3 linked regions of the Canis lupus familiaris genome follow. The protein of the gene in region 1 purifies or fractionates together with the protein of each later gene. This does not show direct contact. Links are inferred from orthologs where the notes say so. Each region holds a gene or a part of one and is shown on either strand. Other genes may lie near its edges. The genes, in order: ARRDC1, NEDD4 and ZMYM2.

What was found.
Region 2: the proteins of ARRDC1 (region 1) and NEDD4 purify together in Homo sapiens (affinity purification with mass spectrometry; 3 studies listed by BioGRID and IntAct, counting the BioPlex papers as one, with this or other methods). This does not show direct contact. The link is inferred for Canis lupus familiaris from reciprocal best matches to the Homo sapiens genes ARRDC1 and NEDD4.
Region 3: the proteins of ARRDC1 (region 1) and ZMYM2 purify together in Homo sapiens (affinity purification with mass spectrometry; 3 studies listed by BioGRID and IntAct, counting the BioPlex papers as one, with this or other methods). This does not show direct contact. The link is inferred for Canis lupus familiaris from reciprocal best matches to the Homo sapiens genes ARRDC1 and ZMYM2.

What each region holds. Positions count from the first base shown.
Region 1 is NC_049230.1:48,164,543-48,167,756, reverse strand, and holds part of ARRDC1 (arrestin domain-containing protein 1), read left to right. Parts: intron 1-2,668; coding exon 2,669-2,779; intron 2,780-3,214. UniProt on the Homo sapiens protein: Functions as an adapter recruiting ubiquitin-protein ligases to their specific substrates. Through an ubiquitination-dependent mechanism plays for instance a role in the incorporation of SLC11A2 into extracellular vesicles.
Region 2 is NC_049251.1:21,439,813-21,443,464, forward strand, and holds part of NEDD4 (E3 ubiquitin-protein ligase NEDD4), read right to left. Parts: intron 3,455-3,652; coding exon 3,394-3,454; intron 967-3,393; coding exon 907-966; intron 825-906; coding exon 717-824; intron 110-716; coding exon 13-109; intron 1-12. UniProt on the Homo sapiens protein: E3 ubiquitin-protein ligase which accepts ubiquitin from an E2 ubiquitin-conjugating enzyme in the form of a thioester and then directly transfers the ubiquitin to targeted substrates. Specifically ubiquitinates 'Lys-63' in target proteins.
Region 3 is NC_049246.1:18,189,770-18,193,421, reverse strand, and holds part of ZMYM2 (zinc finger MYM-type protein 2), read left to right. Parts: coding exon 1-124; intron 125-2,090; coding exon 2,091-2,256; intron 2,257-3,043; coding exon 3,044-3,256; intron 3,257-3,652. UniProt on the Homo sapiens protein: Involved in the negative regulation of transcription.

The sequences.
Region 1 (3,214 bases):
AACCCAGATGCTACCTCAGGGCATGTTGCTGTGCGCTGGAGGGTGCATCTGACCAGAACACGTACCAGGCCCTCCCCCCCCCCCCCCCCCGCCTGGTCCTGTAGCTGAGCCACGGGACACACATAGACCCACATGGGACACACAGACACACACAGGTCACACAGACACACGGGACACACATGCTGGTGCCATGGGCCTGCTCTCCTGCAGGAGCACATCTCCCTTGCGTGGGGTAGGAGGGACAGTCCTGCTGTGTGTGTCCCTCCCCCTGCCTCCACAGTCCCCCTGTGGAGGAGAGTGGACAGAATGGCCATTTGACTCCAAGACAGTGATTGGAAGCTGCTCACTCAGGTCACCACAGGGCCTTCAGTGTGTGCAGAGAGGCCCCCTGCCTGGGCCTTGGGAACGTCTTAGGACTTGGGCCCCTCTGGGATACCCTGAGGGGAGGCTGATACCATTTGTGTTTCTGAGATCAGATGACCCCGTGTCATGTGCACCTGAATTCTGGGGGCCGTTTTGGGCTGGATGGGTGACAGTCTTAGCCTCCCTGCCATTAGACATGTGGGCTGTGCCTGGATAATTTGTTGTTACAGACAGGTTGCTCACAGCTCCTGGGTAGACAGGGTGGGTTCTGAGAACTGTGGGTACTCTGGTGTGTGTGTGCATGTGTGCGCGTGTTTGAGTGTGTAAGGTCCCAGCAGATCCTCCTGTTGCTTTGCCAGGGCCCTGGTAGCAGCTCGTGGTGTGATTGCTGTGAAGATTGTGTTTTTCTTTCTTTTTTTTTTTTAAAGATTTTATTTATTCATGAGAGACACAGAGAGAGAGAGAGAGGCAGAGACACACAGGCAGAGAGAAGCAGGCTCCATGCAGGGAGCCCGATGTGGGACTCGATCCCAGGACTCCAGGATCACACCCTGAGCCAAAGGCAGACGCTCAGCCACTGAGCCACCCAGGCGTCCCAAGATTCTGTTTTTCTATCTCCTCTCCAACATTAGTCAGAATATTTAATATTTGGCAATCGGATAGGGTAAAATGATAACTCGTCTGAGTTTCTCTGGTGTCTTCCGAGGTGGGGTGTCTGTTTCTGTCGTTTGCTGCTGTGCCACTCCTATGACAAACCACCCCTAGACTAAGTGGCTTAAAGCAACCGTTTCATCATGGCTCCTGGCGTCGTGGATTGGGAATTTGGACAGAGATGGGCAGGTTGAGGCTTCGGCTCTCTACATCATCCACTGAAGTCACCTGACGGTTTTCAGCTGGCACTGGGCCGATCAGTCTGGGGAGTGCCAAATTCCTTTGGGTCCCAGAATTCGCAGGGCAGCCAGCTCCAAGGTGGAGTGCACCCTCCCGCCTCTGTGGGGAGTGTAGACTGCTGTGGCATCTGGATTGCCATGCGTCCCCTCTCTTATCCAGCCCACCCCACTGTGTTCCTCTGGGGCTGCGGGAGCCTGTGGGAGCACCACAGGTGTCTCAGATCTGTGGGGTGGGAGCAGATCGGGTCTGGCCTTGGGAGGGGACAGCTGATGGGGTGTGGGTTAGAAATCTGGGCTGGGGTCTAGTCATGGGCGCGGTGCCGGGGGGCGTGCAGGACAAGTCGGCTCCCTGGGGGAGAGCCTGGTGGTCCGTGAGTGGCCAGCAGGAGGCTTGCTTGGGCGGGGTGAGGCTGGCCTGGGGAGACTGCACATGGTCTGGTGAGGCTGGCCCTGGCCCTGGGCACTTGGGATCCTGGGTTCCTCCCACTAAGTGGCTCTGTCAGAAGGTGTTAGATTCCAAGTGCCCTTCTTCTCAGCTGACCATCATGTCAGGGGATGGCAGGGAGAGGCTGGGCAGGCAGGCTGGTGTCTTTGGCCTTGTCTTAAGCCTGCAGTTATTGGCGGGGTGGAGCTGCCGGGCCATCCGGGGCTACTCAGCACTGAGCCTCGGCTGCCCCAGCTGTGCTGTCTCCCCTGGTTGTCCAGCCAGGGCCTCTGGCCACAGTGCTCTCTGGGCTTGTGTCCCCTGGAGTGGGGAGTTTGAGTTCCTGACCACAGAAAGGTGGTGGCGACCTCCACTGCAAACAGGCCTAATCTAGGCATTTCCACCCGCGAGTAGGGCAGAGGACATCGGCCCTTGTGGGCAGGACTGGTCCGGAAGTCCAGGGTGTGCCAGACTGTTGGGTACTCATCAGCTCGGGCAGGTCTGACCACATTCCTGCATCCTGAAGGGCTAACAGTTAGCTTCCTGGAGCGTGAAGAGGCACCTCCCAGCCTGGTTGACTTGCCAGTGAGGCCACATGTAGTGAGGTTGGCTGTTCATAGGCTTTTGTCGTCATTGGTGCCCCAAGCATCTCTTGTAGGGAGCTGAGTTTCCACAGGTCTGCTGGGCCCAGGGTGGCTGGAAACCAAGGTTACCAGGTGGGGGATTGTGTGGGACATTTGGGTGACTGCTGGGACCCTCCTGTTCTGGACTTCAGGACAGATCTGCCTCTGTGCCTTATCACCCTGGCTCCCTGGGACTACCCCCAAATGTGGGATGGACAGAGGTATCCTCTGCAGGGCACAGGCCACTTGTGGGCCCATCAGAGGCCCAGCTCGCCCCTTGGCGAGCTCTACCTGAATCTTTGTGATGGGGGCAGGAAGGGGCCCAGGCCTGTGGCTGCCTGGACTCATGCCATCCCCCTGCCTTGCAGCCATCCGGGTGACCTGCATGGGTTCCTGCAGGGTGTCCAACAAGGCCAACGATGCCGCGTGGGTGGTGGAGGAGGCTTACTTCAACAGTGCTCTGTCGCTGGCTGACAAGGGTGAGTCCAGGAGCCTTGCACTTGCCTTGCTGCATTGAGTGAGCCCCTGGCACCCCAGGGCAGACATTGGTTGAGAGTGGGGCCTGTCTGTCCACCACAGCTCCCCATTTGCTTCTGGGATCTCTGTGCTGACCCACCCTCTGGAAAGGCTTTGTACCAGATGTGTTTCTCTGCCTGAAGGCATGGGGCATTGCCTGATAGGGTCTGGGGGGTTGAGGGGGCCACATCTCCTGGGTGTGGGTGGGCTCCGGCCCCTGGCAGAGCCCTGTCCCCCTTTCCTCTCCAAGCCAAGCTCTTGTAACCCGTCCTCGGCCCAGGTTGCGGCCCTGTGCTGTTGTGGCACCAGGAGGCAGAGGCTGGGAGTGTGAGATGGCCCACTGCCTCTGTCCGCTGTCCGGTGGCGTCACCTCAAGGCTCCTGAGCCCCCCCCCTCCC
Region 2 (3,652 bases), on another chromosome or scaffold:
GCAAATTCTTACCATAGAGTTCAGCAAATCCATTCATAGGCACTCGAGATGTACCAGTGACAAACTGAAGTAATCTTATTCTTTTTTCTGAATCCATCATTAGAACAGCCTGAATAAGAGAAAAACAGCATTTAGGTACATCCCTAGGAAAAAAAGTAACAGAACTATCTTAAAAAATATGTTATCAGAATTTAATTATGGTATTAATGATCCATTATTAAATTTACATATATCTGTTAGTTACATTTGTGTTTCTGGGTGGCTTACAGAATTCCTAAAAACACAGAGTAACTCTGTGGGATGAGATCACAGCCTAATAAAGTGACAAAAATATCTTTTTGGATGTGACTCGTGGCTTTTTAAAAATGATATTTACTGATATTATTGAGTAACACACACAATTCTCAATTAGATGGAAAATAACATTTAAAGCAGCCATGCAGGAGGCCCAGAGAATGCACTGCAGGTGATTACAAGTTCTCTTGGACAGTTCTACTGCTGGTAAGGAACCAAGAGCCCACCACGGCTGTTCCCATGACTTCCTACATTCTGAACACTGACTTATCTATAAATATGCATGGAGGTTGCAGCCATATCCGGAAGGTAGATGTATACAGTACATTACATTGTGTCTTATCTCTATGTGATCCATTAGTATAGTTAATATGACTGAATCTATTGAAAAGTAATTTACAGAAACAGAAGCTTTCAATTACCTTCCAGAACCACTGTATGACTTGATGATTCACACTGTAGCCATTCTTATATTTTGTGTGTTCTCTCCAGTCATTCACATCGACATCTCCCAATCCACACATAAGAAGCTACGTGATAAGAAATGTCAAACTACAGACAAGATAAATAATGGACACAAAAATCCTGTTTGAAAATAAGAGTATTTCTTACCTCTAGTTCATTTTCATCGAAAATTTTGATGAGATCCTGTGGTATTAGTTCAAAAAATCCCTAGGAGAAGGAATGTATTTTAAAAATTGGTTAGCAGATTCCATTGACAGCCCTCTACTTTAGCTCCTGGGTTGTTCTGGAGAAATCCCACATGCACATAGGTTCCTACCACCACCTAGTCTTGGGTTCTTAAGTTAACTGAGATTCCAGTATTGGCAAGAAAATGTACATGTCCATAATCTCTTCTTTCTCACTGATTCCTCACAATGGCTATTTTGAAACCTCTCCACACTTCCCAAGGCACTTCCTCCTCCTCCATGTTACCCCTTCCTGACAGCAGATAACTTTTATTTGAGAGACAAAACAGAGGCGATTATGGAATTCCCTCAACCTTCTGCACGCATCTCCATGTACCAACTGCCACTGACATCATTGTGGTCTCCCTTCCCACTGTCAGAGACAGGTGCTATCTCCTCTCTGTGCCTCATCTGCTTCCCCGAAGGGCTCCTCTCACTAAATCTCCTTCTCTTTATTAGCTCACTACATGCATTTATACTTGTTTAAGCTTATCTACCTTAAAAATAACAAAAAAGGGGTTCTTGGCTGGCTCAGTGGTTGAGCATCTGCCTTCGGCCCAGGTTGTGATTCTGGGGTCCTGGGATCAAGTCCCATATCAGGCTCTCCACAGGGAGTCTGCTTCTCCCTCTGCCTATGTCTCTGCCTCTCTCTCTCTCTCTCTCATGAATAAATAATTTAAAAACAAAACAAAACAAAAAAGCAAAACCATCTTTCTTCTCTTTACTGCCAAGTTATTATACCTTACTGAAGCCACCTGCCCACCTGCAGCTCTGCCTCCACCCGCTGCCATCTGCCCTCTGTGCCCCTGCTTCCCTCAGGCTGTCCTGGAAAAAGTCAGAGACAGCTCTGTGGCTAATTCTGATAAACACTTCCTAGTTCTGTATCTTTTTTTACTTCTTTGCACTAGGATATTGTTGAAAACACCTTCGTTGTTGAAACTTTGTCTGCTGTGGATGATTTCTCTTTCATCTCTGTCTGCATTTGCTAATTTCCCTTGAAGTCTCCTTTTCTACCCACTGGTTCCTTCCATATTGCTGTTCCCACATCTCTATGGTGGCCATCCACTTTCATTGTTCGTACCATTCTTCCAATTTCCCATCTCACCTAGTCCACAGCTCCAGGACACAAAGGCAGATGATCCCCAAATTCATGCTGCCCTCCCCAGACCTCTATCCTTTAAAGCATCCTGAACTACAGCTCTCCCTCATGAATCCCACTCAGATACACACACAGCTGTCTTCCCACCACTACCACCTTAGTTCCTGCCCTTACCTTTGCTCACCTGGATCACTGGAGTACCTTCTCCCCCCACCCCTGCTGCTAGCCTTGTCCAACTCTAACTCACTACACGCCACTTCCAGAATGATCTGACTAAAATATAAATTGAATCCTGGTGTTTTATCATAGAACAGCCTTTGATACCACCTTCCTTCCCCTCACTGGATTTTCACAAAAGAGTCAAATCCCACCTTTGTTTCCAGGTTAGCAAACAGGCCCTTCATAACCCAGTTCTGGTCAGCTCTCCAGCTCAGTTTTACCTCCTGCATCATCTTATGAACTGCTGGCATTTTCTCCAACATGCACACAGTCTTATGGACAGACTTCACACAGACCACTCATTCTGCTTGGAATTGCATGTAGCGGGCCAAACGCCCTAGGCCTTCCCTGTCCCTCCCTGCACCTCTCCTGCCCTGGTTTCCACCTCTCCACTGTGCTTACCAAGCACAGGCTTGCCTCTGTCCACCTCTTCAGATTCTCTGCCCCCTATAACAGGACCTATGTCTTTATGCCTTGTGCAGTACCAGATACAGAGTGAGTGCTGAATACCGGATAAATAAAAAAGTACGTGATAAATATCTAACAGAAGGTTTTAAGTTGGTTTAAGACACAAGAGTGCACTGGCAACAGCCTAAATGTTCACTAACTGGGGAAGTTTAAAACCTTATGGATTTATGAGTAAACTGCAGCCACAAGGAAAAATAGTTGCGCATCTTGACACATAAAGATTTCCAATAAATATTTGATAAGACAAGAAAGCAAGTCACAAACTAACATGTATAGTGTGATCCCATGTGGGAAAATAAATGGCCTATTCCACTCTCCCTATAGCACCCTTGATCCTTGTTCATCTAATGTAACTTAAGATGGAGGAGGAAGAGGAGACATGACTGGGAAAAGATGAGGATCCATGACCAGTGTGAAGGAGGATTGTCAATGTCAACTGAATGGGCTTCTTGAATGAGTTTTAACAGTGAACACCTATTCATTTAAAATTTTTTACTATAAAAATTAAAAGTTGTTTTTAAAAAGCAAGTCATCCATTAATTATCACATGTGATGACTCCAATACTTGAAACTCAAGAATTATACTTTGAAATTACAGAAGAACAAACAAAAGTAAATGAATACCTCTTTAAAAGCAGCCATTTGCTTCTGGATTCGGTTTACAAATCGCCACTGTATTACAAGACTAAAAAGAAACAAAATATTTCATCTTTTTCATATGAATGAAGAAAAACATTTAAGGTATATTTACTCCAGTTGGAAACAAAAAATAAAGACTAGGTAAGCCCAAAAATAAATATGAATGGGTAATACAGCATTTTTACAGAAAGAGAATAAAGAACATTGAGACGCTGGCTATGAAGGAAGAAGGTACAGAGTCTTC
Region 3 (3,652 bases), on another chromosome or scaffold:
CTTTACAGAAGGGACAGACAGCTTATCAACGAAAAGGATCAGCTCACCTCTTTTGTTCTACCACCTGCCTTTCCTCCTTCTCTCACAAGCCTGCTCCAAAGAAACTTTGTGTTATGTGTAAAAAGTAAGGTTTTCTTTTCTTTTCTTTTTTTTTAATTGAAGTATAGTTGACACATGGTATTACATTAGTTTCAGGTGTACAACAGAGTGGTCCAACAAGTCTGTAGGTTATGCTTTGCTCATCACAAATGTAGGTAAGGTTTACCTTTCAACATCATTCCATATGATTGAATATTGGTGGTATATAATTTTAGGGAAATCATGAGTCTAAGAGGTGAATTATGGTGTTTGAAAAATTAGTAAGCTAGTTGTTTAAATCTTAAAGCCAAACTCAAATGTGTAATGGCTTTGGAGGCTTTTCTACCACACCAGGTGGCTTATGGTAAAAGACTTCCTATTGGGCAGACTTTGGGGTTTGTTTATTTCTTTATTTATAAAAGATTTATTGATTTATTTGAGAGAGAGAAAGACAGCACGTGAGCATGCGGGGTAGAGGGGGTTGTGCAGAGGGAGAGGGAGAGAGAGAGCATCCTAAGCAGACTTCATGCTGAGTGTGGAGCTGGATTTGAGGCTCATGCCATGAGACCATGACCCTAGCCAAAGTCAAGAGTCAGATACCCAAATGACTGAGCCAGCCAGGTGCTCTGAGGTTGATTTAAGGCCCTTGTAATTTTGTCTGTAATCTCCATTGGACTCCTTGACATTTGTCAAAATGCATACAGCTTATTCACATTACTAATTATTAGAATTTAATTTTGGCAAGATAATATTGTTTTGCAGTTTATTATAACTAGTACTATATAAAAATAGGTCAGATTTTGCACTATCTTCATTTTAAGATCATTTTAAATTGGCATGTCTTTAGATTTTATTTATTTATTTTTAAAGATTTTATTTATTTATTTGACAGAGGGAGCAAGCAAGTACAAGCAGGGGGAGTGGCAGAGAGAGAGGGAGAAGCTGTCCCTCTGCTGAACAGGGAGCAGATTCTGGCTCTATCCCAGGATCCTGGGGTCATGACCTGAGTCTAAGGCAGATGCTTAACCAACTGAGCCATCTAGGTGCTCCTGCTCACGGTTTTAAGACTCAGGTACCAGTTTTTTGATAGCCTTGGAGAGAGACAGTTCTCTCTTCTGCCAATTTTTAGGTCTGGCTTCCACTAGTTAAAAATAAATGGAATATTGGAGCATCTGGGTAGCTTAGTCCGTTAAACATCCAACTCAGTTTCAGCTTTGGTCTTGGTCTCAGGGTTGTGAGTTCAAGCCCTGCACTTAGATCCGTGCTGAGCCTGGAGCCTACCATATTTTGGAGCAGCCTATGTTTGTGACGATATTTTTTAGATCTTAGAACTTTGAAAAAGCCTTAGTGTTCTGTATAAATTGAATTCAAATATTGGAACAATCATACAGTTTTTAGATTGCTTTATAGTAGTAGCCTTTTGCATACTGTAACATAGGACCTCAAAATTCAGAATTTTATTAAAGGGAATTGTCACATGTCATCAGTATTGTTTTTTTGATTGCTAATTGCATTTGGAGAGCTGTGTAGAATGGTAGGTAGGGTTGTTTTGGGTTATGGATATGGAGGTGTACTTAAGTTCAGTTATCTTCTCTAGAATATCTGTCATCTCTGTGACCTAGATCTTTCAGACTTTCTACTTATGCATGGGAAAGGAATTGACTAGGTATTACAAATTCATACCTCAGGGGATTAGACCTGGACATTAAACTCCTTGTAAGTAATAACTTTTTAAAAAAGTGTTTCCAATATCTTGAAGCCTTGTTAAGGAGTTTGAAGATAAATTGAGTACTGGCAAAGATTTAATAGTATAAAATACTTTTGTTTTTTAATCTTTTGTATTAAAATTTTATTGCCAAGAGGTTTTAAATAGTAAAAGTGATTTCATGGATCTAAATGGTATTTGATTCACATGGTTCAATTTATAGAAATTAGAAATGTTAGTTATTACTCTTATATTTGATTTTTTTAAAAATAGAATTTTGCTTTAAGTTGTCTTGCTTATTTTTCAGAGATATAACTACAATGAAAGGAACCATTGTTGCTCAAGTGGATTCAAGTGAATCCTTCCAGGAATTCTGTAGTACATCTTGTTTGTCTCTCTATGAGGACAAACAGAATCCTACTAAAGGAGCTCTAAATAAATCAAGATGTACAATTTGTGGTAAACTAACAGAGGTTTGTATTTTTGTGCCTTCTCTCTTTAGTTCTAAATAATGGAAATATTCTTAACATTATTTAATAGTTAGGATAAACTGATCAGTATGTATTTCCTTAAAACAGATGATATATAAAATTTATCTTATAATAATATCCCATTATGTAATCCCATTCTCACATGGGGAGCATGATTTAGGAAATACTAAAATTTAATATTAGTTGACTTTTTCTTGAGGTTTGGAACATGTAGAGAGAGCCAAAACCATAGTGTTTAAACACATAGGCTGATTACCAAAAGACAACAGACTAGAATGCTTAAGAAGGAGAATAAGTGGAGAGACTATTTTTTGATAACTTCACATTACTGATGTATTAACATTTCTGTATTTGTTTGAAGAAAAACCTGTGTACTCTACATATCATTTGAATTTTTTATAATATTGGTTCTCTCCTCCCTTTCTAGAGCAATGTACTTAATTTTAGTTCCTTTTGGATTGGTCTAAAGATTTTTCAATCTGTTTTAGAATTTTATATTAACAATATCCAACCTGAGTTGTTTCCTATCATTTTTAGATAACTCTAGAGAAGTTTGTAATAATTCACTAGTGGTTCCCCCTCTGCCATACATGTATTTCTTGTGTGTATAAAAATAGTTCAAAGAAAATGAAAGCTATTTTCTTTCTCTTTGCCTAAATAAGCCTTCCACAGAAAAATCATTGAGTTGTTTTCTTTCTGTTGGAGCACCTTGTTATTTAGCTACGTGTGATACTCATTGGTCTTTAAAATTTTGTTTGCTTGTTTTTAGATTCGCCATGAAGTTAGCTTTAAAAATATGACTCATAAGCTGTGCAGTGACCACTGCTTTAATAGATACAGAATGGCTAATGGTTTAATAATGAATTGCTGTGAGCAGTGTGGAGAGTACCTGCCGAGCAAAGGTGCTGGAAACAATGTCCTGGTGATCGATGGTCAGCAGAAAAGATTTTGCTGTCAAAGTTGTGTCAGTGAATACAAACAGGTAATTCATGATCTAATCAGAATTGGCCATTCTTTTGAATATTTTTAAGTTGCCGTAATAGTTTTACTTTAGCAGTATTTATTAACTAGGTTTATTCTGGAATCTCATTTAATTCCATTATTTTCTTCAACTCTTAGAGTTGACCTAACCCAAATGAATACTGATGTATGTAGATTTTCAGACATTGTGATTTTACATATAATGGTAAATGCTGGCAGAATGATTCCTCTTTTGAAATATTGTTTATGGGTAAAGGAGAAGAGTTCCAAGTACAATTTTAAAGTTTAGCTTAGGAATGATTATCTTACTTATATTTCAATGTTAAGGTCTTTTGATTTAGTTTGTTTTTGAATATATACATGTGGTTCAAAAGTGAAGTGTACATAAAAACATACA